Pelodiscus sinensis: one gene and its partners. The protein of the gene in region 2 binds, or shares a complex with, the protein of the main gene of each other region. Links are inferred from orthologs where the notes say so. Each region holds a gene or a part of one and is shown on either strand. Other genes may lie near its edges. The genes, in order: IRF2, IRF2BP2, ZBTB16 and VGLL4.

What was found.
Region 1: the proteins of IRF2BP2 (region 2) and IRF2 are in contact, whole or in part, in a crystal structure (PDB 8YTG), measured with the Homo sapiens proteins. The link is inferred for Pelodiscus sinensis from reciprocal best matches to the Homo sapiens genes IRF2BP2 and IRF2. Residues at the interface, in NP_892017.2 of Homo sapiens: His517, Phe518, Val519, Gln520, Pro522, Phe531, Leu557, Trp564, Ala565, Phe566, Met567, Glu570, Thr573, Ile574; in NP_002190.2 of Homo sapiens: Arg331, Ala332, Ser333, Val334, Ile335, Lys336.
Region 3: the proteins of IRF2BP2 (region 2) and ZBTB16 are in contact, whole or in part, in a crystal structure (PDB 8YTH), measured with the Homo sapiens proteins. The link is inferred for Pelodiscus sinensis from reciprocal best matches to the Homo sapiens genes IRF2BP2 and ZBTB16. Residues at the interface, in NP_892017.2 of Homo sapiens: Thr516, His517, Phe518, Val519, Gln520, Pro522, Phe531, Leu557, Trp564, Ala565, Phe566, Met567, Glu570, Thr573, Ile574; in NP_001018011.1 of Homo sapiens: Arg285, Ser287, Val288, Ile289, Thr290, Ser291.
Region 4: the proteins of IRF2BP2 (region 2) and VGLL4 are in contact, whole or in part, in a crystal structure (PDB 8YTF), measured with the Homo sapiens proteins. The link is inferred for Pelodiscus sinensis from reciprocal best matches to the Homo sapiens genes IRF2BP2 and VGLL4. Residues at the interface, in NP_892017.2 of Homo sapiens: Thr516, His517, Phe518, Val519, Gln520, Pro522, Phe531, Leu557, Trp564, Ala565, Phe566, Met567, Glu570, Thr573, Ile574; in NP_055482.2 of Homo sapiens: Arg161, Ser163, Val164, Ile165, Thr166.

Annotation. Positions count from the first base shown.
Region 1 is NC_134715.1:76,082,905-76,089,976, reverse strand, and holds the start of IRF2 (interferon regulatory factor 2), read left to right. Parts: upstream 1-4,055; 5' UTR 4,056-4,187; intron 4,188-4,463; exon of another isoform or gene 4,464-4,716; intron 4,717-7,072. UniProt on the Homo sapiens protein: Specifically binds to the upstream regulatory region of type I IFN and IFN-inducible MHC class I genes (the interferon consensus sequence (ICS)) and represses those genes. Also acts as an activator for several genes including H4 and IL7.
Region 2 is NC_134713.1:126,125,277-126,132,723, forward strand, and holds the start of IRF2BP2 (interferon regulatory factor 2-binding protein 2), read right to left. Parts: upstream 3,005-7,447; 5' UTR 2,584-3,004; coding exon 1,617-2,583; intron 1,038-1,616; coding exon 322-1,037; 3' UTR 1-321. UniProt on the Homo sapiens protein: Acts as a transcriptional corepressor in a IRF2-dependent manner; this repression is not mediated by histone deacetylase activities. Represses the NFAT1-dependent transactivation of NFAT-responsive promoters.
Region 3 is NC_134736.1:3,729,042-3,736,383, forward strand, and holds the start of ZBTB16 (zinc finger and BTB domain-containing protein 16), read left to right. Parts: upstream 1-4,340; 5' UTR 4,341-4,534; intron 4,535-6,022; exon of another isoform or gene 6,023-6,163; intron 6,164-6,226; exon of another isoform or gene 6,227-6,251; intron 6,252-6,355; exon of another isoform or gene 6,356-6,378; intron 6,379-6,684; exon of another isoform or gene 6,685-6,826; intron 6,827-6,860; exon of another isoform or gene 6,861-6,979; intron 6,980-7,165; exon of another isoform or gene 7,166-7,224; intron 7,225-7,247; exon of another isoform or gene 7,248-7,342. UniProt on the Homo sapiens protein: Acts as a transcriptional repressor. Transcriptional repression may be mediated through recruitment of histone deacetylases to target promoters. May play a role in myeloid maturation and in the development and/or maintenance of other differentiated tissues.
Region 4 is NC_134721.1:47,047,559-47,054,479, reverse strand, and holds the start of VGLL4 (transcription cofactor vestigial-like protein 4), read left to right. Parts: upstream 1-3,920; 5' UTR 3,921-4,467; coding exon 4,468-4,549; intron 4,550-6,921. UniProt on the Homo sapiens protein: May act as a specific coactivator for the mammalian TEFs.

The DNA of each region.
Region 1 (7,072 bases), on a different chromosome or scaffold from region 2:
AGGGCCTGATTAAATGCATCCTTGGATACTTAAGCTGATAGAGAAGGTATCTGAGCCTTTAGCTATCATCGTTGAAAAATCATGGAAGTCAGGAGAGATTCCAGAAGACTGGAAAAAGGCAAATATAGTGCCCATCTATAAAAAGGGAAATAAGAAAAACCCAGGACACTATAGACAAGTCAGTTTAACTGCTGTGCCAGGAAAGATAATGGAGCAGGTAATTAAGGAATCCATCTGCAAACATCTGGAAGAAAATAAGGTGATAGGTAACAGCCAGCATGGATTTGTAAAGAACAAATCATGTCAAACCAATCCGATAGCTTTCTTTGATAGGATAACAAGTCTTGTGGATAAGGGCAAAGCCGTGGACATGGTATACCTAGACTTTAGTAAGGCATTTGATATGGTCTTGCATGATCTTCTTATCAATAAACTAAGCAAATACAACCTAGATGGAGCTACTATAAGGCGGGTGCATAACTGGCTGGATGACCATTCTCAGAAAGTAGTTAATAACGGTTCACAATCATGTTGGGAACATGGCCAGAGAAGGGACCTAGCCCAAAAACAGGTGCCTGCCCTACTCAGACACTCATACTATTGGGACCCATCTGTTGCTGAGGCCACTGCTATTCTCCAGAAACTGGCATCACTTCTTCCTCCTTTTACCCCTCCTACTCCAGCTGCCACCGAGGTGCTGTGAAGACCGAAGAGCCCGCCCCCTACCCCCAAGGACTGAGAGAAGCCCTACAGGACTCTAAGCACAACACCTTCCACTGGTACTCAATCGCTTGCAGGGAAATCCCCCTCCCCCCAAACATCCAGGAGGGAAATGATGAGTGTGGCGCAATCTCTAAAACCCAGCAAGTGTCTGGCCCCCAAATCCTATGCAAGAGACATCCCAGTTGACCCCCCCAGACAATTTTCCATAACTGTTTCCCTCCCTTGTCAGGGACAGGGGGAGGGAGACAGGCAAAAAGGCAGGTGCAGAGACATTAATGCTTGATTAGTACTCAGAGTCAGACCTACTGAGTGTTCATCTGTAGTTCCTTTTTTAAAACTTCACCTTTATGGTACCTGTGCAATGAAAATTCGTTTCCTCACTCAGAAGTTCTGAAGGCATTGCTTGTCATCCCTCGGTTTCTTAAATGATATGATCCCAACTTTTGTTTTAAATGAAAGCTGTGATGGTGATATGATCACTTGACTCCAGTAGCTGAGACTTTAAGGAAGATACCAGATATTGAGAGATCGGTGATAAAAATTGCAAGCATTGGCAATGGTACAGTGAGTAGCACCAGATGTTTGTATTTATTGAGAATTCTGAATTGAATTTTGTAATCCTAAAATTGTCAGATCATATTGATTTTACAAAATCTTGAGAGATCACAGTCTCCTTTGGATAAATTGACTCACCAGTGACAATTAATAAAATAATATAATAATAACAATAATAAATATCTCTGTTTCCTTTCCCTTCTTAAGCACTACAAAATGATTATGACTACAACATTGGCCCTCAGCAAGTCATGTGAACCAGTTTTAGTAAATGCCTAGATCCTAATATATGTGCTCTAACTGTGGCCTCAGAAACTGTCATTTGTTACTGTTGTCTGAGAATAAATATTAAATTAAGGTACTGCAATGGTCCAGAGATTCCAAACATTACTCTGAGAATTGCTTTCTTTTAATGCACCCATGATGGAAGGCCCAAACCACAAGGAAGTCAATGGGAATCTTCAATTAATGTTAGTGGATTAGGCCTCAGGAAAGCAACGGTTTCATTCTGTGTAACTGTAAAGATTACGGAAAGATGAATAAACATACTAAACCAGCTTGCTTTCTGTTTTCAATGGATGGGCCAAATGATTGTCATTGACATTGTTGCCCTTTCCAAAAAAAAAGGGAAGATTTCCTTTTTTCTATATTATTACATATAACAAGTATTTTACATGCCAGCAAATTGAAACTAAAATCTTTTAAAGATAGATCATTCTGTAAACAAACTGAACAAGCATAAGCTGAATATTGCATAAGCTCATCAACATCACTGTTCTCCTTTTCCAGAATGAGTTGTTTGAGCCAGTGCATAGGGATTTTTCACCTCATGGATGAGCGGCAGGTCATTCATATTTTGCCTTTTTATTTTTATTTTATGATTTACAATACTGTGCTTTACACAAAAAATGAATATGATTTATGAATTCAGACTCTCCTGCCAATCTTGAAGATCAGTCATCGAAAGATGCATGCACATCAAAGGACTTACTCACATGTGCAAAATTAAGTAAGGGTGTAAGGATTAGTACTCTAAGTTGTCTTCCTTTTGGATTGTGGCCTATGTTTTCAAGAAATACATGTCATTCTAATTACTATGGGTATTTCAGTGCTCTGATTTTACCATCAGATATTTATTTTTAGGGCTCCCATTGCTGTAGCACCTGAACACATCACAGTCTAAAATATTGAAAATCACAACACCTCTCGGAAGCAGGGAACTAATATCATTCCCATTTTACAGATAGGAGCTGAGACATTATTCCAAAATAACATAGGGTGCACCTATACTGCAAGCAGTTACTTCAACATAATTTTGAAATAATGTTGAGCTGGTGGACTTCTTACTCTGACTCCTGTAACCCTCATTTTATGAGGAATAAGGGAAGTCCAAGGAAGAGTGTTCTTCCTTCGACATACTGCTGTGTAGACAATGTGAAAAGCTGAAATAAGCTAGCTGAAGTTGCGTAGCTTATTTCAGCTTTAGCCCTGCTATGTAGATGTGCCCAGAGAGATTAAGGATGTGGCTACACTACAAAGAGTATGCCTGTATAACCTGCTGGTACAGATATAGAATACATTGACAGGAGACAATTTACTGGTATGGGAACACCATCTGCCCAAATGCCATTAGCTATTTGCCCAGAAGCCCTCTTCTGTGTCAGCATAATTGTATCTATATTAGTGGTTTAGTCTGCAAAGGTGTGTCACTATAGTGTGCATGTTTTTCACCCTTGATCAATATAGCTATACTTGTATACATTTTAAATCATATAGAAACTCTGTGGTGAAGCTGGAAAATGAGTCCCAGGATATTGTTCTAACCACAAGACTATATATTTTCTGACACAACATACTGCAAAGACCTGAAGAATCCTGAGGTTAACTCCTTTAAAGCATTACTCAGCTCCATCTGAGCAAAGATGTGTGGGATTGGGACTCTTGATGGGAAATATATATTATTTCAGTGACAAACAAAGTTTTGAATACAGACTAGGAAGGATTGAAAATGAAATAATGATTTTCAGATGCAGTGGTCAAACTGCATATAAAATAGATAAAAAATAGAGTATGTGGTGGCCATCAATATGCTGGCCAACTGCTGCATAACATCTTTGCATAGAAGGAATCAATGTAGTGGTAGCTCAGTACTGCATCGTGTTGTCAGGCCTACAAAATTTGTGGACTTATTTTAGCTTCAACCCTTCCATACTGACTTGGCTTATAATTTAGGCCCATTTCTTATATACTTGAGACACTAGGATTGTTTTCCATACCATTTTATTGTCAGCACATAAGCTTGTTCAATTACAGCACATAAGCTTATTTCCCTTTAAACCTAGATTTCCATAGAGCTCCCCTCTCCCTCAGCAAAAAAATCCAACAACATTCCACCCTGGAAGAGAACAATCTGCCAGTCACTTTAATTGTGGATTTTTTTGGAGGAGGGAAAAAACATGAAGCTGTTCTCTTGTCTTTAGTTTTCTTTGCCCTGTAACAGAAAGCTCTTTCTGTCTCTCTGCCTCTACACATCACATGCTGCAGCTCGCTGCCGCTGCTGGAGGGAAGTGAAAATGAAATCGACTTTTCCGAGAAATGATGAAAGCGGCTGTGTCTGCCAATGAAAGGCTGCGGTAAACTTCCGCACCTCTCCCATCTCGGCTCCCACCCCCCTCTGCACAAACAGGCCGGGGAGAGGTGGGGGGAATTTCCAAGCCTCAGCTCCTCGCAGTTTCCTCTCCTTGTTTTGCTTTCGATCTGGACTCTTCTCAGCCAAAGCAGAGGGAGTAACTTTTAGTTTTGCTCCTGCGATTATTCAGCTGGGTGTTTTCATTTCCATTTTGCATCCCCTGGCAACAGCGTTAACCTTGAGGAATTATATAAATACCGTGAATAACATATTAAACAAGGTAATTTTTTAACTACTACTGTATCTGTATGTGGATTTACACAAATGTTTGGCAAACAGGAAGTGCCTGCTCTCAAATAATATTGATTTAGAAAGAAAAGGTCAGCGTTGTATGGATCATATGATTTTAGGTGAAGCTGCTGCTAGGGAGAGGAAGGTTAATTTCACTTTTACATTTGAAAAGGCTGAGAGGGTGATCGCCTGGAAGGACATGTGTTTGTCTCGGACCGTGTGGAGACCAACCGTGTGCCCAGATCGGCAGGGTTTAGGCTTTGAATTTATTTTGGGTCTAATGGGGGGAGAAGATCAACAACGGAAACAAAGGAGGGAAGCGTTTAATTCTCCCGCTGTGACAGATGGGAAAGGGAGAGCTGGACGGGAGAAAAAGACGCCAAACAGCGCTGAGGGGACGGAAAAGCAGCAACTTCCACCCCCGCGGCGCGAGGCTGGCCCGGCGGCTGCAGCACGCGGAAAGTTAATGGAGTGGCGGAGCTGAGCGGGGGTGGCGGGGCTGCGGACATTTCCTGCAGGTGATCAGCTCCCCCTCCCCGCAGCGCGGCCGGTGCCGCTCGGGCGCGCTGCTGGGGGCTTGTACCGAGCGAGCAGCCGCGGGGAGGGCAGCGGCTGCGCCCGGGGGCGAGTGACCCCTTCCCCGCCCGAGCGGGGGAGCGAAAGGCAGGCGGGGCCGGGGCACTTGTTGCGGGCCGAGGCCCCGGAAGGGCGAGGGGCGAGTCCCGCGGGCTCCTGCTTCCTGTGGGGCTTGGCGGCGGCTGCAGGCCCGAGCGGGGGCGCATGGGCGGGAGGTGCCGCGGGGGGGGGGGCGCGCGGAAAGGTGTCAGCCCCCCCATGCGGCAGGCCGCGTTGCTGGTTATACGAGCCCCAGCGCTTCCTCCCCCCCCCCGCCAGTCAGTGACGGAGCCGCCTCTCGCGCCCAATGGCGGGGCCCTGCCGCGCGCCGCTCGCTGTCTTCGCCGCCAGCCGTCGGGCTCTGGCTGGGAGCGCGCGCCGCTGGGGTTCCCCCCCCCCCCGGCGGGGCCTCTGCTGCGGAGAGACTGGCCCTGGGTGACCCCTTCCCCGCCCGCCGGGGAGGGAGACTGTGGCCACTGCGAGTGATGCCGACAGGCCCTGCCTGCAGGCCGCGTGCTGGAGCCCGGGCCTGTGCGCGCTGCTGCTGCTTGTTTGTATTCCAGCGGCATCGGCCCCGGCTCCGGGCTTCCTTCTGCGCACTGCCCAGAAACAGAGAGAGAGTCTCCGCCCTGGGTACTGACCCACCTGCGTGCGCCGGGCCTCCAGCAGAGTTTGTGCTGGCAGCCGAGCAGCCTTTTTTATCCTCGAGTAGCTCGAGCTGCACTGGAGGGGAAGGAGCCTAGTATTTGCTTGCTCGGTTCTGCAGCGTCGGGAGCCCTGTTGTGACCTGGTCTCTAAGCTGGGCCTGTAACATCCCTGGCGTGTGTGCGCAGGGGATATGGGGCTTTAAACAATAGTGGCAGATGGTGGGGTGCTTGTACTAGGGCTCCCAACCTTGGTATGTTTAGTGGGAAATTTTTAAAAAAATCTCTTCAAGGTATTACTGCTAATCCGTAGGTGTAGTGGTAGGAAGACTTTCGGGGACCTTTATTAATGTGTTGAGTGGAAAAATGGTGCTTAGTAGTATATGGAATACAGACTTTCCTTGTTAATTCCCCCAATAAGTTTACAATCTAAGATGCCCATTGACAAGTATGAGTCATTGTCCCAATATAAACAACAAGCAAAATGTCTTAAAAACAGGGGTCTATATTACTATCTTTAATAGCTTCAGAGAGTTCGTCTGTAACAGGAAATCTTAAAAAACAACAAATAGTCTAGTAACACCTTAAAGACTAACAAAACATGTATGGGAGCGGAAATCCATCAGCCACACACAGAAACTCACACAGGTCCAAACAGACCTGAACTCCAGTATAAAGAGGGAGAAAAACTTGTTGAAAGTCTATGGGTCAGGTTTAAAGGAGCAAACAGCAGTGATGTTGTGGTTGGTGTCTGCTACAGGCCACCGAACCAGGTGGATGAGGTAGATGAGGCTTTCTTCGAACAACTGAGCGAAGCTTCTAGATCGCAGGCCCTGGTTCTCATGGGGGACTTTAATCACCCTGACATCTGTTGGGAAACCAATACGGCAGTACACAGGCAATCCAGGAAGTTTTTGGAGAATGTTGGGGATAACTTCTTGGTACAAGTGCTGAAGGATCCGACCAGGGGCCGTGCACAGCTTGACCTTCTCCTCACAAACAGGGAGGAACTAATAGGGGACGTAGAGGTGGGTGACAACCTGGGAAGCAGTGATCATGAGATGGTAGATTTCAGGATCCTGACCAAAGGAAGAAAAGAGAGTAGTAAAATACACACCTTGGACTTCAAAAAAGCAGATTTTGACTCCCTCAGAGATCTGATGGAAAGAATCCCCTGGGATGTTAACATGAAGGGGAAAGGAGTCAAGGACAGCTGGCAGTATTTTAAAGAAGCCTTATTGAAGGCACAGAAAGAAACCATCCCGACACGTAGCAAGAGAGGCAAACCTGGTAGGAGACCGGATTGGCTTACAGGGGAAATCCTTGGTGTACTTAAGCACAAAAAGGAAGCTTACAGAAAGTGGAAACTTGGACAAATGACTAGGGAGGAGCTTAAATGTATAGTTCGAGAAAGCCGGGGGGTTATCAGGAAGGCGAAAGCGCAAATGGAGTTGCGACTGGCTAAGGATGTGAAGGATAACAAGAAAGGTTTCTACAGGCATGTCAACAAAAAGAAGGTGATCAGAGAGGGTGTGCAGTCCCTAATGGATGAAGGAGGTAACCTAGTGACAGAGGATGTGGGGAAAGCTGAAGTACTCAATGCTTTCTTTGCCTC
Region 2 (7,447 bases):
AGCATTTCTGTTTGCCAAGTGCTCTCTAAAAAAAGCAGCGCAAGTCACAGCCTACACTGAACAGTAACTGTCACCAAGGAAGCACAACAAATAGTTGCTATAACAAAAAAGAGGAAATGCCTTTAAGTACATACCTTTTGTCTTCAAAAAAATATAGAAACACAATGTATTCAAAAAATCAAAATTATACAGCCATGTTTTATGAAGTCTACATTTCCCTTGTCTTGGAGATATATATATATTTATAGATATTTATAGATATATACATAATTCAAGCAGTTTTAGTTATAGGTGACCGTTGGGTTGTGAAACTGGAAAAAGTCACGAGTCTCTCTCTTTTTTCACTTTCACATCTCCTGCAAGAATGGTTGCAATCTCCCCCTGCATGAAAGCCCAAGGGACATTGGAGCCCACCAGGGGGCATTTCTCCCCACTGGGACAATATACCTCGCCACTAGCTCCTTGTTGTTTGATGCTTTGTCTGGAGCAAGGGAAACAGAACTTGTGGGAAGGGACAGAGGGGCACTGAACAAAATGGGTGTCTTCCAACCGCTCGTGGCACAGGGTGCAGCACAAGGGAACACTGGCTGCTAGAGATGAGTCCGGGAGGCTGGCAGGATGCACTGGCTCCAATCCCCCAGCAGTGTTTGTCCCTTGACTTGGCACCTCCCTGCTTGGACCCAGCCTTCTTTGGTTCATAGAGGACGGAGAGGGCGGGCTGTTGCTGTTTCTCCTGGTAGTGGAGTGAACTTGGTTGGCATCTTTGGAGGAGTGGTTGCCCCCTGCATTGTCTGCTACTAAAATGAGCGCAGCCATAGGGGATTGGCCATTCTGGGCTGCTTCAGGCGGTGTGGTCCTGTTGGAATGAGGCGAGGCAGTTGGTGGAGGGGGAGACATGAAAGATGTAGCAGTCATGGACATTTTCATCCCCTCTGATGATGTTGGCAACCAGGGCTGTGATTCTCCATTGATCTTAGGGGGTCCAGCTTCACCTTCTGGTTCTGGGGACGGCTTCCTTTTCCTTGATGCCCGAGCCCCTAGAGACGCAAAGAAATGGAGAGGAGGAAATGCACAAGAAAAAAAAAAGCAATCAGATTAACACAGCTATAAAGGGAGATACAGCTACACAAATCAAGCTTCAAAATGGTTCCATTTTAAAAGTATACACAGCCCCTGGTTTGCATAGAAATACCTATTATCTGACCTATGCAAATACATACACAACGTGACATGCATCCAAAGTAGGTGTGTGTGTTCTATACAACTTGTGCATGTGCACATCCAGCCACCACATGCAGGCATGCAACAACCTGTACAAGTACACAGTTCACACACACGCGGGCTGGCTCTGCAACGCTGCTAGGAGGCTGAAAGGTTACTGGTGCCTTCCCTGCAGCTCCTATGGCGAGCATGAACGCCAGGGAGGAAAAGCCCTATCTCTGTCAGTGCCTACCAGCCGGCCCTGACTCATAGCTCTCTGTTGTGCTGTTTCAGCACATGAACACGTTGCCACCTAAGCAACGGTGCCGCGTTAGGCACCAGGAAGTGGGAGTTAAGAGATCGGGGTTTGTTTTTTGGGGGGAGGGGGGGAGCAGACATCTCCCTTTGCCTCATACCTGCTTTGGCCACGGTCCCGTTGCTCTCGTACCCCAGCATCCTGCTCCCCGCCAGGCCGGGCTCCTTCTTGAACTTGCTCTCGAAAGGCACCGCGTGGCCCCCGTGCTGGTGTAGCGCCAGCAGCGTGTCCCGCACCGTCTTGGGCTTGCCCAGCCATTCCTGCTCCGCGCCGGCTGCCCCGCGGCCCTTGCCCTCGACCCCCAGCTCCTCCGCCGAGCCCCGCGGCGGCTTCTCCTTGCTCTCGTGCTCGCCCGCGCCGGCGCTACTGCTGCTGCTGGAGGACACGGAGCCGGGCCGCTTGTGCGCCAGCTCCCCGGGCGGCGGCGGCTGGGGGACGGAGACCTGCATGGGGGCGGGCGTCCCGGAGATGGCGGCCAGCGAGGCGGCAGCCCGGCTGCTGATGCTGATGGCCGCAGGCAGGGAGGCTCCGTTCATCAGCGGCACCAGGGTGGGCGGCACCGTGTGGGTCCGCCGGGGGTTCGGGCTCTGCCGGTTCAGCTCGGGCGGCTCCTCGGGCTTGGGGAACCCGTTGGGCATCAGGATCCCGTTCACCTGCCGGCTGGCCCCGTACTCGGCTCCCAGCCGGGGCGGCGGCCGCTCTGAGGAGGCGGCAGCACCCGCCAGCGGGTAGCGCTCCAGGGGCTGCGGCGGGGGCCGGGGCACCCCCTCGCCCGCCACCGCCGTGTGGTTCAACTGCTGCTGCTGCACCAGGATCTCCTTCGCGCTGAGCGGCGGCTGCTTGGCGTGGGGCGGCGGCGGGGCTCGGCCCTCCTGGAAGCTGTGAGCCCGCTTGAGCTGCCGCGCCGTGTCGATGACGAACTCCACCCGGTCAGCCCCCTCGTAGTTGACGCAGCCCCGGCAGACGGGCTCGGTGAAGTCCCAGATCATGGCCCAGGGCATGCGGGGCAGGTCGCACAGGTAGCACGACTGCCTGCGGGAAGCAGCCGCCACCGCCGCGGACGACATGTCCCAGCCCAGGGGCAGCGAGCGCCCCCCGCGCGTCCTCCTCCTCCTCCTGCAACCAGAGACCAAGCGGGCAGGCTCCGGGCTCTGCAGCTGCCGCAAGATCTTCCGCCCGCTGCAAACAAGCGGCCCCCAGCGAGCGTGGAAGTCACTGAGACTAGGGCAAGCGCATAGCCCCGTCGCGGCACCCTCGGCTGCCTACTCCAGCGCGCTGCTCACTCCGCCTGCCCCGCTTGCTCCCTACTGCAGCCCGGGCGCTCGCACTGGGGCGGGGACTCCAGCAGCAACAGCAGCCGCCGCCTGTGCGCTCTGCTCCAGTGACTCGATTCTTCGACAGTGCCTCCGAGCGCCTGCGCGCTGGGCGCCCTCTTCTCTGGCCGCCTGCTGCTGGTGCTGCTCATTGAACTTCTGCCAAGAGTCCCAAGACAACAAGAGCTGCAAGAATAGCCAGCTCCCTCCTAGTCAGCAGAGGGTGGGGGAACGCCAAGGGCTTGCACATGTGAATGGGATGTAAATAGGGGTCTGTGGGGTCCTTATTTGCAGCCTAGGTATTATTTGTGAGGAGGTAATGGCTAAATACGTCAGCAGGCGTGAAAAATATGTTTAACAAAAGAACAGATGCCATCTTTACTTGATTGTTAAAATATTGTATAAGATTAATTTTGTGATGGCTCACTTTTGGCCGGAATTTAATATAATCTTTGTTTTAATCTTGCCTTTGACACTGACTCATTCCCTGGCCTTGAAGAAATCACTCCAGTCTGATCCCTTTGACTAAACAACTTTCGCTGACTTTCCCAATTTTTCCGTTAAAAAGGGTTAATAATACCTACACCCAGAGGTTTTCGAGGGGCAGTTGGTATGTGCACAGAACTTGGAAGATCGAAACAGCTACTCAATGTAATTTCCTTATTCGTTTAATAGAGATTTTCGCATTGCCTTACGCTAAGATGGAAGGGACCATAATATATACAATTGCTACTTATCTCTTTTTTAATGTTTCATTTGGGTCGGAAATAGGACATTCTAGGTTTCCTCATTTGCAGCCACAAATCTTCCATTTTCTAGTGATCAGCAAAGCGCATGCTAAGTAAACACAGCCCCTCCTCCCCAACCTGCGGACATTTTTTTTCTTCCTACTTCCGCACTAAGAATTCCAAACAGCTCGTTTGACAATTGCAGCCAGTCAAAAAGAGAAAGGGATGTTCTGTTCATTTGTCATTCGCACATGAAGTCATCATTCAACCCAGAAGTAGTCCGAATACATAGAGGGGGCTGTGTGTGTGTGTGTGTGTGTGATTGTGCAGCGTAAACAAAGTGGAAGCTGTTCTCTCAAACTCTTGCTTGTGGGTCACCATTCCCACAGTGCTGCTGCTGACTTATGTAGGTTACAAAGGGAGGGATGGAGGAAGCTGAGCTCTGACGTCCGCATTTTGTTTCAGGGCTGCAGCTGCGCCCTGTGCGCAGACTCAGTCAGGGACGTGACTCAATGCAATTGGCACTTGAAACCTTATTAAACGAAATGCACATTCCAGGGACAGACTCACAGAGAGAGAATCTACAGCCAGCACCGCCGATGCCCCGTCACAGCACTAAGTACCGCCTCCCTTGCTGCTATTTCTGGGCTCTCAAAGCTCCCTCCTCCCACTGCCAGGCTTAACTTTTACTTAACGTAGCAAAAGCAGCATGTACAGTAGTACACAGGAATGGGTGTAAGAGCCGCATTCTATACTGTACTACTCTCTCCCTTTGCACTGAAAATCAGATCAGGCTTTTGTTATTCATGTGTACAGCTCTCTATTAATGGAGACCGGCTGGCATGAGGCAGCTTTGCGACTGCAGACAATGGTGGTGTTGGGGGTATTTTACACTAGGATATTTCCTCCTGCAGAACCAATGGGCAGGGGGCAAAAGGCAGAGGCGTTGACTTGTAATTGCTGACCCAGCTGGGCGTTTTTCATGTTTTGTTATTTGCAACCCACGAACGGGAGACGAAGCATGGACACGATATTTTATGGAGCTAATTAGTGTGATGTCATCAAAGCAAAAAGTCAATTGATATAATGTCCTCGCTCTATTTGCTAAGGGAATGCTTTCATCCAGCTGCAGAGTTAAGCTAGGGAAATGATCTCTAACCCTCCCCCCCCCCCCCGCCGCCGCCGCCGCCCTTTAAACAGAGTTTATCTGTCAACTTTTCGAGCTCCACTATTTTTTTCGAGAATCAAACGCCGTAGGCCGCTAACGCGACACACCCCACCCCAACCTTTCTTCTTTAGACTGGGATGAGCTAGCTTTCTTGGAGGCAGCGTGTGTAAATTAGATGATCTCCCCTACTGGATTGGCAAGGCAAGGGGAATGGAGCCCTGCTAAGGTTTTTACCGTGCTGCTATCGACACTGCCAGGTTTTTTTAAGGCGCGGGGAGGGGGGGGGGGGGGACGGGCGGAAAGAAACCACCCTCGAAGAAATGACTGTGTGTTGATCTTCTGTCATATTTTTAAAAGCCTGTTCTAAAATTTACCCGAAGGACATTTAATCCCAAACTCAAGCGTTTTGACATGCAAACGCCACATGATCCTCCTTTGGGGGATTTCCAGAGACTTTGCCGCCGTTTGCTAATGTGCTTTCTGACGGCGCCTCCTTCCCCACCCCGCGCGCACCGGTGCAACCAGCGCTGATGCAAAATCCGCTTCCCCCCACCCACATCAGTGCAAGTGCAACGAGGATTTTGATACAACGCCACTATCCCCCTCCCTCGCGCACCTTGGAACCGTAGGTAATACAATCCCCCCCCCCCCCGCCAGCCAGTTGCAAATGGTGACAGAGCAGATCCCCATACACGCCACTTGCCCTCTGGCTAATGCGATCTGTCCCTTCAAGGGTTAAGCAGTTCCCCGCCCTTCGAGCCTTACTTTTGTTTCAGCGATAACATAAACACCGCCTTGCACGTTTGCTCAAAGCAAACCTTGCCATTTTTGGGACTGCCCTGTCAGCGATAAGCGAAATTCAAAAACACGGTCTAGATGTAGGTTCTCTCGCTCCCTCTCTTTGGATACATGCATGTGCGCTCATAAAAGGAGACCGCTCCTTTTATTTTCATATTCATAATCCCTTAAATATTTGCAACTCCATTGGCATAGCTTCCCCGGTGACCTTCCTGAGGTTAGCTTGCCAATGAAAGAGCTATTTTTTTTTGGACTGCACTCCCGTCCTGAATTCCCCCGGGAGCTAAAAGGGTTAACACATCTTGTTTTCTGCTTCACAACAGCACTCCCGTTCAGATTGTGTAAAACTCCTTTAAAGCTACTCTCCCCCCACCCTTCTAAAGACGCTTTATCAATGTATACTAAGTAAACAGATTTTTGTTTTTGTCTTCCTCCCACAACCCTTTCTCTCCGGACTGAAATTGGATTCCTTCCAACCCGGCTGCAGCAACTGCTGCCTACACACTCACAGGGTTTCTAGGGTGAGGCAATGCGTCTGCGATTCGCGGAGACAAGGCAGGAATTGTAATTGCACTGCATCATGTGATAGCTTATGAAAGAGGAAGTTAGGATGTTTTAGTCACGTACTCCTTTGCCCTCTTGCTTAGCCTCTAGGTTCTTTGAAGGAAAAATTACATGTATTTATATATGTTGGTTGGGTGCCAAGAACGACTGTTTGTGCATTTAAGATCACGAGCAGTTAGTAAAGGTGGGGGGGGGAGGAAACCGTTCAGCTGTGGAAGGCTTTAAACTGGAGGGCAAATTGTGCTCACTTTTCCTTCATTCTAACAAGAGCTTGTTGGAAAAAATCAAGATGAGCAATTTTAAGTTTTTAACTATAATTTTATTGCTCCGAATTAACTCTGGAAAAAACAGGAGGGAGGCATAACGTCTGAACATGATTTTCCTGAAACAATGGCTGGATTAAATAAAAAATGTAGGCTTTATATCATGACCTGTAAACTCCCCAAACCTAATGATTTCATGGGTTTAGTAGAATGGAACTGGTCAAACACAAGATATGTTCAGTTGCTCTCCCTCTCTCCCCCCCACCCATCATATAGACTTGAGCTTCAAGACACCTACTGGTGGTTTATGGTAATGCCGTTTTGCCTGAAAATAACTTATTAAAGGCACAAACTGGCCATATCCTGCTTGCTTTACACAAAGTTTAATTGATTTCAACAGGACTGCCTTTGGGTACATGATGAGCAGGATATGGTCTATTATAATGAACAATGTGCCCTCAATTGTGCATAATTTCATTGGTAGTTTTGCTGATATAATTGAATTACTTGCTTGCACCACTAGGTGGGTGCACACCTGGTAGCTGTTTGTAGGCCAGGCAAACACCTATCCTCCATTCCCTCTTTACCCCCCACTTCCTCCTTTGTTCCCCATGCCAGGGGCTTTGTGTGCCCCCATTTCTCCTTCATTCCCTACCCGGATTTCCTATTTTCTCCTCCATGCCAGCCACTGTGTGTGTCCTCCCCATTCCCACAATTCTCCAAACTTCCCCCACCATTATTATTTATTTTCTATTTGTCTCAACTGGGAGATAAGTTACCATGCTGCCACGGTGCATGACATAAGTGGTATTGGGAAGATGGGCAGTGTGGGCATGGGGAGGGCTAATAGTTATGCTGGAAGATACCATCAATTATTGATCTGTAGAGAATTAAAAATCCATACAGTTCTCCCTTTTGAGAGCTAAACCATTCCCTGAAATTTTGTAATTGAACTTATGCTGAGTTCAAAAGTTTCCATATTCTGTCCAAATAAACGGAGAAATGCCATCAAATTGAGCATAAAGCCTTGCAAGCTGGGCCAACTAAAATTTGACATTAAATTTTATGCACATTTTGGATATATTGTTATTTTGCAT
Region 3 (7,342 bases), on a different chromosome or scaffold from region 2:
CCAGTTTTTCCAGAAAATCAGCCGCTTTTCCGGAAAAACTTGCCAGCTGTCTACACTGGCGGCTTGAATTTCCACAAAAGCACTGACTTCCTACTGTAAGAAATCAGTACTTTTTGCGGAAGTACTATGCTGCTCCCATTCGGGCAAAAGGGCCAGTGTAGACAGCTGAGATTTGTTTTCCACAAAAAAGCCCTGATCGCGAAAATGGCGATCGGGGCTTTTTTGCGGAAAAGCACGTCTAGATTGGCACGGATGCATTTCTGCAAAAAGTGCTTTTGCGGAAAAGCATCCGTGCCAATCTAGACGCTCTTTTCTGAAAATGCTTTTAACGGAAAACTTTTCCGTTAAAAGCATTTCCGGAAAATCATGCCAGTCTAGACGTAGCCATACAGACTAACTTGGCTACCTCCTGAAGCTTCTTTTGCTTATGGGGGTCAGAACTTCCAAGTCTTGTATTTGACTTGATTTGGAGGAGAAAATAAACCTTTATCTTAATTAAAACAAGAACCTGGGGGGTGAGAGGGAGGCAAGAGGAGGGTTACTGGTGGTTGAATCTGCTATTCTAACATTTTCTCTGCATACTGTATATATGGCCTTGCTGAAGGACAAGGGGCTGACTTGAAGGTCAAAAGCAAATCTTTTTCTTTCTTTTTTTCCATCTTCCTTATTTCATACCTTTCAGAATTGCTCTGCTTTTCACTTCCTTTATGGTCACTGATCTCTAAGGTATGTCAGCTCTGGAACTCAGTCTATGTGTGTGGAGGAGGATGTACATTCTGAAGGCAGACGGACTGTTTTCTGAGGAGAACTCTGTTGTTCTTGTTCTTGTCAAGCGACAGATGTTATTGACCAGGCTGTTAGAACAAAGCTAACGTATTGATAAATATTGGTTTAAATTTTTAGTATGGTCCATGGCTTCAAGCAATAAGTGGTTTCTTTACACTATTTGCATACACCAGGAGGCCAAAATATGGGTAGTGAACACAGCAACCTTTACTGTGATGGCTCACAGCACTGAGTGTGTGTCGGGGGTGGACAGGAAAAGGGTTGTGGGTAGACGGGGAGAGAGAGGTAGAGCTGACAGATGCAGATGTGAGGGAGTGCACGGTTTGGATCAGGATCAGACTCTGTTACCGAGTTGGCTAATTCCAAAGACGTCTTCAGATGTGGTGACCGTGTAAATCGAATTTCAGCTGAATGGAGCCCGCAAGAGACTGTAATGCACAGACCTGACATATTGTCTATATCCCAGGGCGGTCTGGAGGTCTGCTAGTGCTGAGACAGAAATGGTGAGAGACAATCAATGCCACCAAAGAGTTTGCCAGCTAGATATTTCCTAACCCAAGCTGTGAAAGATGGTTCTAGTTTGGGAAGGGTGGGCGGGCTGGGGGGTGACATTTGGCAACTAGACTTTGTTCCAATTTGGAATGAAAGCAAAAATGGAGATTCTCTGGAAGGGGTTGGTGCCATGGACCCTGGATGCCCAGCCATGGGATACACAGCTCGAAGGCAGTTCATCCACATGGCTCCTCAGCATTCAGGCATAAAAACAGGCCCCTATGTTCCACTTTGTCAGAACCAAACAGTCTCAGCAGAATGCTTCTATTTCAATGCATTCTGATGGGGGAAGAGAAAACAAATTTCACTCCAGTTTTCTGTCCCACTCTATCTGGTGATGTCTTTTGCAGGCAACATGGAGACGAAACGTCTGTAGGCAAAGAAAGTGCCTTGAAGAGCCTCCATGCATGATATAACCACGGAAAGAAGTGCATGGCATGCAAGGTGATGTTAGACTGTCAGACTGTTCAGGAGTCCATGTGGAAAAGGGTTTGAACCAGGTGCCCACAGAAAAGTTGCTCTCACCATTGACATCATTCACCAATTTGTTGCCTTTATTGACAGCTTCAGCAAAGAAACTTGGGACCGAATCAGAACTTTCTTTTCACCCCCCACTGAAAAGTCCCCTCCCAGGGAATGTGCAAGCTAATTCCCAAGGGAAAGATCTAACAGTTACTTATTAGATTGTATGTTCTTGGCCAGGTACTATCTTCTGTGTTCGTATGGCATCTAGTACCAAAGGACCTTAGACTCTACTGCAGTACAGATGATGAAAATAAGAATGCGCATTCATGAAGTTAAATAACTAGTCCCTTTGCAGTTACTAGTCAAGGGGAACTAGTCAGGCGAGTAAAGCGTATGCATGTGCATATGTGTTTGCACGGTCAGAGCTATGGAACAACGACCATGTTTAAATGTGTATTTGTACAACATCTACTAGCATGAGGGCTTGGTCCTGACTGGACAATCAGGACTTGGTCCTGACTGGAGAACCAATGTAATAGAACTATTAAGGCACAGCTTGACACTGGGGGAGTATTTAAGTGCACTGTGGTCTGAGCTATACCTAGTCTGCAGATGAATGAGAACGTCATTTGTAGGGTCATCAATCCAGTATCCTTTGAAAAACAGTGATAGGAATTAAGTCTTTTAAACAACTCAATAGCTTTTACATTATTTTTTAAAAAAGAAAAGTGAAATGCACCAGTTCCCAGGAAGGACTGGGGAGGGAGGGGGGTAATTTTCAGCATGCTGCCTGGGAATGTAGCCCTGGGAGATCTATTATTGCTAATGGGACTCATGCGGCTTAATTTCATGCAAGCTACACTAGAAATGTACCCCTAGCTGTCTGCGAAATTTCAGTTCTGAAATCAAGCCTCTTAAAAGTTAGAGCAGGATAAACAGACACCTGCAACTGCTCCTCTCCCTCCACCATGGATTTTTTTCTACTTTACAAAGCAAAACAAAAGACGCAATGGCTGTGCAGATTTAAGGAATTTAAAAGGGAGAGGGGGTCATATGCATGCAGACTGGCAGCCAGCAAGTGAAATTTCATTTTGCTGCCAGGTAAAATGGCAGAGTTATAACCCCTGAAATATGGGGTTTAGTTGATGCCTTATCTTTAACTATGCTACTGAGAATGCCACACTGTAATGCTTATGTAATAACCCTCAGTGCTGTCTCTTTCATTATAGGGCCTCTGTTATTAGGCTGTTCTTGTTAAATGACTGCTATCATCTGGTCCCAAAGTACATTAAATCCCATTATAATTATAAACACACTTCCTATAACATTCTCTTTAGATTACATTCACACTGCTTTATCCCTCAGGGTATCTTTGTACTAATACTATTCTTACTTGCTATTTTAGCAGACAATATTGGGTCCCACACTACTTGTACCATGCAAAGGGAGAAGGAAGCATTCCCATTACTGAGCAATATTTTGATGTCCCCTGGAAACGAATCTTGTCTCATTTATTTCAGGCACTCTCCCCTTTTATATAAGGAGGCCTGGCTTTTAAAATGTGTTGAACTTTGGCACCCTACTATTCTGGAGTTTATGAATTGCACTATTCCTATATCTCCATTCCAAAGAGTAGCATTATGAACAAGAAGTTTGGTTGAAACAAAAGACAGGACAATGTAGCACTTTAATGACTAACAAGATGGTTTATTAGATGATGAGCTTTCGTGGGCCAGACCCACTTCCTCAGATCAATTTGTGGAAGAAAATTGGCACGACCATATATACCAAAGTGATACAATAAAAAAAAGTGAACACATATAAAATTGACAAATCAGATTTTAGAACAGAGGGGCGGGGGCAAGGGGAGACGGTTAGTGTCTGTGAGATAATGATATTATGCTGTTCATTTCTCTCTTTCTATTAAAAAAAAAGATTTTTTTTTGCAGCAAATCTTTGTCCCTGGAGTTTCACTGCCATTCTTATACAACAAGGAGTCCTGTGGCAGCTTAAAGAAGAACCATTTTATTATAAGCTTCTGAGGGATAGCTGAATTAGTCCCTAACTGGAAAAACTTAAAAAACAATGAATAGTCTAGCAGCACCTTGGCAACTAACAAAATGGGTAGATGGTATCATGAGGTTTTGTGGGTACAACACACTTCTTCAGGTGACTGGAGTATTAGAAGTCCAGATCCAAGAATAAATAAGGGGGAAGGGAGAAAAAAAAGAGGAAAAAAGAGTGAATTGAATTGTTCAAGTTACTAGCGTTTACAATTTACAACTTTCCTGAGTTGTAAGTTGCAACTCACGTCATCAGTTCCTGCCCTTTCTATACACGGTGCTTGTTTGGAATAGTGTCTTTATCTGGGCAAAACAGCCCATATCAAACTGGCGGGTACCTAATATTTGGCACTTTCCAGCCAAAATTTGGCACCATGCCCATGGCTTGTCTTTGTTACTTTCTCCATCTCTCAAACTCAGGCACCCTTCTCCCTGCAACACTTGCTAGCAAGAGGCTGGGCGTTCAAAGCGCTGAGTTTATTAAGCAAGGGAGATTTTTTTTTTTTTGTACCAGGAATCTGGGGGCTCGTCTGGCTTTGTCTTGTTTCAAGTGGCTTTCTCCGGCCTGAGGCCTAATTGAAGATTAGGATCGGGGGTTAATTGTGTATTTCTCCGCTGGGGAAGATCGGATGCTTCCTAGGGCGAGCCTGCCGCGAGTTAAAGCCATGGTGAGCGAGGCTGGCAGCAGACGTCCGCACCGCCGCCTTATCGCTCGCCTCGACGCAGTTGTCACATTAGAAGTTCAACAAGTTGAAAACGTCTCTTGTGTAGCGTGGCTCAGCCAGCGACACCCGCACGCTGGTTAGGCGGGGTTCTTTTCCGATGTACGGATTTCATGATGAGCACGCGGGGGTCTTACCCCCCTCGCTGCTGCAGCCCCGGCGCTGGGGTGCGTTCCTGAAAGCGGAGCGTGTGTGCACCGGGGGGAAGGACTGGGAGCCTGAGCTCCGAAGCGGGTGCCGCGTTGGCCGGGGGCGAATTGGAACCCGGCTCCGCGGGCGGGTGGGTGGCTGAGCCCCTTGGCTCCCGCCCTGAACGAGCCGCGGGGCGGTCAGGGGCCCAGCCGGGTGCGTGGATCCCCTGCGGGGCAGAGGCGAGGGGGAGGCGAAGGCGATCGCGGGGAGGCGGGGGCTGGCTCTCAGGCAGGTGCCGGGACGCAGCCGGCGGAGGGGCTGGGCTGGGGGCGAACGACCCCTCCCGAGCCCCACCACCCAGACCCGCTGGGGACACGGTCTGCGCGCTGCTCCCCTAGCGCCCCTCGCCCGCCCCGTCCCCCCGGCCCAGGCCGGCTGGCGCGCAGGGTGCAGCAGGTGCTGGCCCGGCGCGCTCCGATCCCCGCGGGGCCGCTCCGAGCCGGGTCGCAGGCATTGGCTCCGGTTCATTGATTCCCCAAGGCAGCCTCCTGCTCCTCCATGTTTGTTGTTGGCAGAGGCCAGCGGAGCCAAGCGCTGTCCAGCAGCCCGCGGGATCCGCGCCCCCTCCCTCCCCAGCCCCTGCGGCCGGTCCCCAAAGCCGGCCGCCGGGCCAACCCCGCGCTCCCCCCCTCCCCTCCATGCAACTTTTCGGTGACTTCCCTTGGGCTGGGGCAGGAGCGGGACCAAGGGTTTTTCCCCTCTCCCCCCGCCCCCAACTCCTGGGGGCTGCTCGCCTCTGCCCGGGGCTTGGCGGAGCAACCCGGGAAGCGACGGGGCTACAACAGACCCCCGCTTTCCTCTTGCTGCACCCCTCCCCCCGCGCTCCTGCAGAGCGGCTCGCCCCTGGCTACGCGGGGTGCCCCCTGGCTACTTAGTACCCGCAGCTTCCCCCCCCCCCCCCTCAGCGCGGCTGCTTCTGCCCCCGGGAGCGGCCCCGACTCAGCAGGATCGGGGCCTCGGCCCGTTTGCAGCTCCCCCGCCCTGGGCAGGACGAGCTGAGCGACGCTTGGAGCGTGTCCTAGCGCCGCTGCCTTGTGGAGGCCGGGCCAAGGCCGGGCGGGCTCATGGGCTGGCGAAGGAGGGATGCTCGGCGAAGCTCGTTCCCACCCGTCTCCCTCCCAATCCGGAGTCTAATTCGGATGGCTCGGAGCTCTGGCCGGGTCCTGCCGCGGGCCGGAGCTTTGCGCGTCTTTACGCTCGGAGCCCGGTGTCCTGCGCCTTGCGCGAGCCCCAGCCCAGCCTACCCGTCCCGCCGTGCAGCGATAGCGCTGGGGCCCCGAGCCTCCTGCCCCCGCCAGCCGCGTGGGAACGGGCGGCGCCAGACCGGGACCTCGACACAGCTGCCTGGCGCGAGGCAGGGACTCAGTCCGGAGGATGCTCGAGGTGCCCGAAAATCGCTTCTCCCGAGCTGGCGCCCTGAGGGGTCCGGCGTGGGGGGGGGGGGGGTAACTCTTCCCTCCCCTGCTGCCAGGTGTGAACCTGTTAGTACCCCCCCCCAGCGCAGTGTGGAAGGGCCGGGACTCGCTCCCGTTCCCACTCCAGCTCCAGAGGCGCCAGCGGGGTCCCTGGAGCGTCCCGAGTCCCGCTGCGCTCCCAGGGTGGGTGCCCCCCTTGGAGAACCTCCTGGCCCGGGAGGCGTGGGAAGTTTTCCGCTCCAGCATCTCCCCGGGTCAGGCGGGCGGCTCCCCGCGCCTGGGAAGCGGAGACCCCCCGGCAGCCAGGGCGCGCCGCGGAGGGAGGGGGTGGGGGGCAGAGCCTGGCGGGAGGCTCGGGGCGGGAGCCGGGTGCGGGAGAGCGGTGTGGGCACCAGCCCCGTGCCAGCAGTAAAGATGGTGCCCGGCCCGGGCTTCGCCGGGGTGGGAGCGGCCCTGACGCGGGGCGCCAGCCGGCGCGTCAGTCCGCGCGGTGTTGATTTGCTAACCTGCGAGCAGAGAGCAGCGGGGCAGGATGAGAGCGGGCACTGCGAACTGCCACATGCCGCCGCGGCTGCCCTAGCCAGCCCCGGTCCCGCACGGCGGCGGGGAGGCGCCTGCCATGCACTAGCCCGTGAGTGCCGAGGGGGGCGGCTTGCAGCAACTTGCTCCGCGGGGCGGGGGTGTCGGGGGGCTGCTCGCTCGGATGCCCGGGCAGGAGCGATGCGCGGAGATACGCGGGCTCGCCTGTCAGCGCTGCGCCTGGCCGGTTCTCCCTCGGGGGAAGGTGGGGGCGAGGGGACACGGGGGGGGGGGTTGCAATGGGCGGGGGGGGGTTGCAATGGGCGGGGGGGGGGCTGTGGGTCGGGGGGGCGCTGGCAGGAGGAAGCGCAGCGGTTGTTGTGATGTTCCGGCGGAGAGAAACATGTAACCCCCCCCCCCCCGTTATTTATTTGCTGCTTGCGGGGGGAGGGGGGAGCGGTTCGGCCGCCCCGATGCGTTCCGAGAGAGGAGGCTCCTTTCGGGGCCGGGGTGGGTGAGCCGGGGGTCGGGGGAGCGCCCTGATTTTGGTTGATGGCTTTAGTTTTGCAGCGCCGGTCCATGTGGGGGGCTCGTGCGGGGAAAGTGTCCGCCAGGGCCCCTCCGCTCC
Region 4 (6,921 bases), on a different chromosome or scaffold from region 2:
GGTATGCTACATTTGCATCCCTAATTTGGACTAGGGAGCAAGTGTAGACATACCCTTAGTCTTAGGTACATTATCCCCTAGCAGCTACCAACCAGTGTTTATTCAGTAATTAATTTAATTGAATAGGGAGAAAAAAAGTGAAAACTGTTCCTGAGGAGCATTCATGCTTTGTGCCCTTTGCCTCTCACCTTGACAGTGAACAAGGACATTAGTCAATATGAATGTACACTCCAAGTGGCATGATACTTATGTGATGTTAGAAATGGCAGTGCATGAATATGAAATATCTGAAAAATGGGAATCCATTAGGTTATATCTTACACAGAATATACCTCAAGAATAAGGCGTGTTTACTCTTTAAATAGGATTTTTTTCTATCAGTTCCAAAATTGATTGCTGTTCATGAGGGATAACATTTTCCAAAGTACGACTTTGGACTTCAAGCACCATTTTTGAAATAATCTGAACTGATACTTAAATACTATTGAAAATTTCACTGTAAATCCTTAATATCAGTAAGTGGTAAACTGGACTCAGTACATCTGTATATGATTAATAGGAGTCTAATCTTTTCAGCTATATGGAAGTATGAATAGCAAAAAGATGGAAAATTTCTGGTATCTCACTTTTTGAAGTGTACACGGCTTTTATCTCTACCTATCTTAGTGAAACCAAAATGCGGTTCAGCTAAGAATCTTTAATGAGCTCATTTAAATAGTTTGTCTATTAAAAACAGATACTGGTAATGGATTCAGCCATATATAATTATTAATCATATTGGGGCTGTTTTTCAGAAAAGGATGTAGCCGGTCTTACAATTGTGCAGCTAATTTGGGTGTTATTACTGCCTAAAATGGCCAGGTAGAGGAATAACTGGCCATTTTTGTGCTTGCAGTTAAGGGTAACTGCATGCAAATTATATATGGACTTGCATGTGGTTGTTTGATAAAATTGTGTCCTAATATTCATCTAGATCTACTTTTGCCACAGCAGGGTTTTTTTTATAACTTTCTTTGGCATATTAAAATCTCAAATGGTGGAAAAATTCCATAGATGTGTAGAAACAATATCACTTTAAAGAATAACAAGATGGTTTGTTAGATGATGAGCTTTCGTGGGCCAGACCCACTTCCTCAGATCAAAGGAAGTTTTTGATCTGAGGAAGTGGGTCTGGCCCACGAAAGCTCATCATCTAATAAACCATCTTGTTAGTCTTTAAAGTGCTACATTGTCCTGCATTTTGCTTCAGCTACCCCAGACTAACACGGCTACATTTCTATCACTATTCTAGAAACAATATGTGATTGAGACCCTTTTGATTTTTACAATATAACCTTCAACACTTACTATAACTCTTGAAATTGCTAAATTTAATGAACTCTTTGAACACAAATAGTGATTTGTTCTTCCTAACGGCTGTTTGCCAGATACGCAGCTTGTATTAAAGAAGGCCTTCAGTAAAACAGTTTCTGATGCACGGTGGTTCTCCTTAAAATTGCTAGAAGATTGAGTCCAAGGATTTTGCAGTGATTAAGTTCTTAATTCCTTAATTCTGAGTAATTCTGCCTGTAGGACAATTTAAAATGGTTCCTTAGGCATTACTTTGTCCAAACATCATTACCAGCCATTTCTAGTTTTGGCAACTTTGATTTAACCATTAATTAAAACCTCCATTTGATTTCTCTTTGCTTTCTTCAGACAAAAATGCAAGTCGATGATCTGAGATGACCACGAGATATTGGATTTGCAGGGCCATATTGCTAATAAACTGATGAATTCAGTACTGTGAGGAAGCTGAATTACAATTATTCTAGCTAGGCTGAACAATCTGTGCACTTTATTGCAGAGTTATCGCATTACTGAAGATGTGTGTGCAGTTTCATGCTATTAGCTCCAGGGGATGCTGTTGTACTAAAGGTTTGTGTGCATGGAAAATGGCCTGGTTTACAAAAGACAAGTATTTGTGGTAGTTCACATATAATGCAAAAAGTATAGTAATTAATGGTGCTTGCAAGTGCTATAACTTTTAAGCAGTAATATTAATCCATAAATAACAAAACTCATGGAATATGCTATTAGTAATGTTTGCTTTACCACATACTTGGCATATAACCTGGTGACATATGTTTGCCACTGATTTAATTTCAACCTGAGCTATTTCAAACTGGTAAAATGCTCAGTGAATCATTTATAAGACTGTTGGGAATTCTTTCCTCGAAAGCGTGCATTGAGCAGATTACAGGGAAATAGTCTAGGAATACTTGGTATTAGTAGCTACAATGCCTCAGCATGTTAGGGATTTTAGAAGTTTCCTCAAGTTCTTTGGAATGAGCAATTTCATATGTGTGAGGATTTTTTAGAATGATTGATCATATAATATTGGCATAAAAAAATTTTCTTTCTGTCCATTCACTAGGCATTCATTTCTTTTTGTGAATGAATTAAAATGTTTTATATTGCTTACAAATATGTATTATATTGGTACAAAACTGTTTAACTGGAAGCATGTGGCAGATGTTAATCACTTTGCTCAATGCAGTACCAGAAAGCACTCTGATTGCAGTATGAGAACCTTTATATAAGAAAATAGCATGGTTGCTTTCCCTTCTTCCAACCACCAACACTTCAGGAGCAATTCAAATATTGTAAATTGGAATATGCTAGTACTTATCTTTTCTCCCATAGACCTTAGCTGGTAGTAATGGAAATTCAGGAATGCTGTAGCTACTAAGTTACACATAGTGTAAATACTTTCCTTAATTTTACTAGAATTTAGAGTTCAGGCAGGGGGGACTTGCCTCTCCTTTGTCGGTGTTGTAACTGTGAAATCTAGCCTTTCTTTTTCTTATCTTTCTTGCAGTATTTATTAAAATGTTGCTTTTAGTAAATGAAAATGGTTTGAAAGAAAGAAAAGAAGCCGTGAAATCGTCAATTCTAATGTGACTAAAGAGTCTCAAAGTCCTAGGGAGAAAAATGATTTTTGCATCAGAGAGTGAGTAGCTAGGTATTTGCATAATGTTTCCAGCCTTATCTCCCTTTGAACTTGCAAATGTCATTTTCTTCATTTAAAAAATTCCCTGCTCTAGAAAGTACCTTATTTTTAGCCTGGAGGTAGGTGGATACACCTTTACTGCCTCAAATCTGGGAGCCAAAAAACATCATGATAAACTTTACTTAGCAAATTATTTTGTTTGCTATACAAAAAATTGTCTAGTTACTTGAACATTAAGTATCATGATTTCTGAGACCTTTAGAAATCTTTAAGATCAAGGTTCGAATTGCAGCAAAGCAAGCCACATCCTGAGAACAACTGCGGTAAAAAAATCTCCTTTGTTTCTGTCCTTTTAAACCAAAGCTTGAACAATGAATTCTCCAGGCACTAAAAAGCCAGAGCCTGAATTGTTTTACTGACATCCCTTCGGGATTTAAAATGTAGCAGTAGACTGATTAAAAGTAGCATAGAGGCTGATCTGTGTGTGCATATCTACCTCCAATATTCAAAGAGTTAATGTGGTGGTTTAGTTGTAGTTCTCATTTTCCATCGTGGAGCCATTAAAACTCCATTTTGTTAATTTTTCAATTTTATTATTTTTCGGTGAATTAACACTCATTACAACATGTTGAAACCAGGTCAAATGGGAATTACAAACATATTAATGTCAAATAAAATAAATGTCAGCTGTATATGTTAAATTAATTTGGTGGAGGAGAATAATTTAAAATAAAAGTTTAACTTCTATTCTGTCACATGGAAAAAATCCTGTCTCAGAAAGTGAAGCCTGCCTGCAGATTTAGCTTGGTCGACTTCTTAGCACTTGAAAAGAGGCCTCTTTCCTTGTTTCTGTGATCTTCCCCTCCACCCCCTTTCAGTTTTCCAGTGGTAGCTTACTTCCTGTCAAGAGCAACTCTGACATGGCCTCTTCTGTAAAGACTCTCCACCTCCTCCTCTTCCTCCTCCTTTCTTTCAAACACTCAGTACATTTAGAGACTGATCTTGTGCAGAAAATATCCCTGACATTTGAAGAGCTCCAGGGATTCAGTGAGCATGCTCACTGCCTGATAGAAAGAGGAAGCTAGTTTACATAGGGCTCATACCAAGCATAGCCTGCATGTCAGTGCAGTTAACTTGCAGCTGGCTGTGAGGAAAATAGCTTGGCTTTGTCCTAGGAAATTTCCTTGATTTTTCTGTTTTTCCTCTTAAATTTCCAGAAAGATTTGCAAGGATTTTTAAAAAACGTTTTTATTTGTAGCTGGGGGAAATAAATTCAGTCTCGAAATCCTGGAAAGGTTCCTCCCTCTCTCTCCAGCTTTGCTTTATTATACTTTATTTTTGATTAGTCAAAGGCTGGGCCTTGAGTTTTTGAAGTTTAGAAAGAACCAGGAGTTATTCTGGCAGCATTTGTCCAGCTTCCTTCTCCCTGCTTCTGGGCAAAAGCAAACAAGCTGGTCTTTTTGTTAGCCCGATAAATGCTATTTATGAAGATGGACCTGTTGAACTACCAGTACTTGGACAAGATGAACAACAATATTGGCATTCTGTGCTATGAAGGTATTTGTTTCATTTGGCAGAAGGTTTGTTTTTTTCTGGGGTATTTTTGATGTTTTCAGTGTGAGCTATTTCTGTTTATAGTTGTTACCAGGTACTGTGTATTTTGTAGTGTATCTAGAGGCTTAAAGGGATTTATGAAATGGAGGTTAAATTACTCTTTTTAAAGGAAAAGTTTCTGCTTACTAATATGAAGTGAAGGTTGCTTCCCCCCCCCCCCTCCCGCCCAGCAAAGACGGAATTGATTGAACTACATTAAAGCAGCAATAGTCTGTGCTTTTTGCCTGTGTTAATATAGTTGTAATTCTGTAAAGGAAACACTCAGACACTTTATAATACCTGTCTGTGTTAATTTGTAAAGTACATTGCCTATGTGTAATCTACGCCATTAAATGTATACTCTGAAACACAGAGTAGAAGCATTTGTACAGCGAGACTTACAACAGGTTTTTGTTTTTAATTTGGTGCTTACATCCTGAACAATAACACATTTTACAGTTCATCTTTGGCAATTGAAGGGCACCCATATTATGGAGCACAGAGTGGCCTTTGTTTGACTTATCATTTCCGGCCCAGCTCCGAGAAAACCCTGACAGTGAAGGATGTCTCCCCCCTCATCCTCACCCACACACCTCCTCCCCAAGAGCACTCCACATAGTCCCTGTGGAAAGAATTACACAATGCCCTGGAAAACTTAACTTTTTGTCTTCTCTGTGTGAGTTTGCTTATTTGTGTCCAGCTAATGTAAATCGACATTTACTTATGATCCTGTAGGTAATAGTAGCCTTGTTTTAAAGGTGCCTTAGGTAAAGGGAGAAGGGAATTAGCTTGATCTAGATCTTTTTCAGTCGATGTGCAGTTTGAAGAAGTGCCAGTGGTCTGGCTTTGAGTGGAAAGAAAGACACCACTGAGCTAATTCAGCTTGGCAGGAGGGCAGGTTTTGCTGTAGCCACATACAAACATTGCAGAAGTCTCTCTTCTAATTCAGCAGGAACATTTTCCATGTTCGTTTGGAAAGTTAACTTTTATAGTTGTCAAGAAAGAAGCAGAAACAAATAGATGTGATCAAGAGGTAACTACTCACATGTGTTTAAAAAAAGGCTAACCCAAAAATCAAGAAGCTTACTCTAGCAATATGTCTTTTCCTTTTCTCACCTCAGTTTAAGTTAGGCAAAATTTCAAAGTACCAGGGGGGAGCAGAGGGTACATATAGAACTATTAATGACTCCAAAAGTCTCAGACGGGTAGCCATGTTAATCTGTAACTTTAAAAATGAGTGGCCCTGTGGCACCTTAGAGACTAACAAAAATATATATAGTATCATGAGCTTTCGTGGGCAAAACTCACTTCAGGTTTTTTCCATTTGAACAAAATCATAGATCTTATGTAGAAATGTTCTTTTCAGAAATCTGCTGTGCAAATAAATGGTTTGCCAGCCAGTATTGGTGCAGATTGTGCATGGCAATCAGACTTTCATTCTCTTTCCCATGTTGCTGTTTCTTTTTTGAAATTTTGTGAATGCAAAAATGATTGGATAAAGGAACATTGCGAGTTTTGTAATCTCGTCATTGTCTTGCATTAACAATTAAGTGCTTTATTATGATGTTGGTTCCTGATGAAAATGGCAAAGAAATAGAATTTCTGCTTGATTGATGGATTTTTCTGAGGAGGGTTTTGCTGACAAGATGGAAAAAGTTTTGTTGCTTTGGATCTTACTAGTTTCATTCAATTGTATTTATTACCTAGTATTTGTTGATAAATCATAATTTTAATAGTTTGAAAGCAAAAGCACAGCTCAAGGAACACAAGTTTTTTGTTTTTTTTTAAGTTCAAACATCTGTTGCAATTTTCCTTATTATGGAAGTTAACATTAGTTTTAACTCTAAAATAAACATAAGTAAGAAATAAAAAAACAACAACCCTAGAGCAGTGTTTATATCCCAGTGATTTAAAAAGTATAAACACTGACCACATCTTAACTGAGTTCTGAAGGGTGTTTTTAGAGATGCCTACACTTCTGCCATGTTGCTGCCAAAGTATTTATTTTACAGAGGAGTTGTCAGCAATGATGGTTGATGGTGATTTTGAAAAGACAAATTCTGTTGCAGTAATATGTATACTTGAGAATAAAGTGCTTTTTCAGATTCAATTAATTAGTCTTTATTGAGGTTCATACTTGAACTACTTAACATTTACAAGTTCTCATGAGAAGTACTTTGGTAGATGTAAGATAAGATACACTTTGTGATTATTAGTTCTATAATAGGCTGGGATTTCCAAAGAGTTGGAGAAAATCAGGTGTCTAAATCCCATTGGAATTCAATAGGAGGTAGATACCTTTTACTTCAAGTGCTTTTGAAAATTGTAGCATGTTG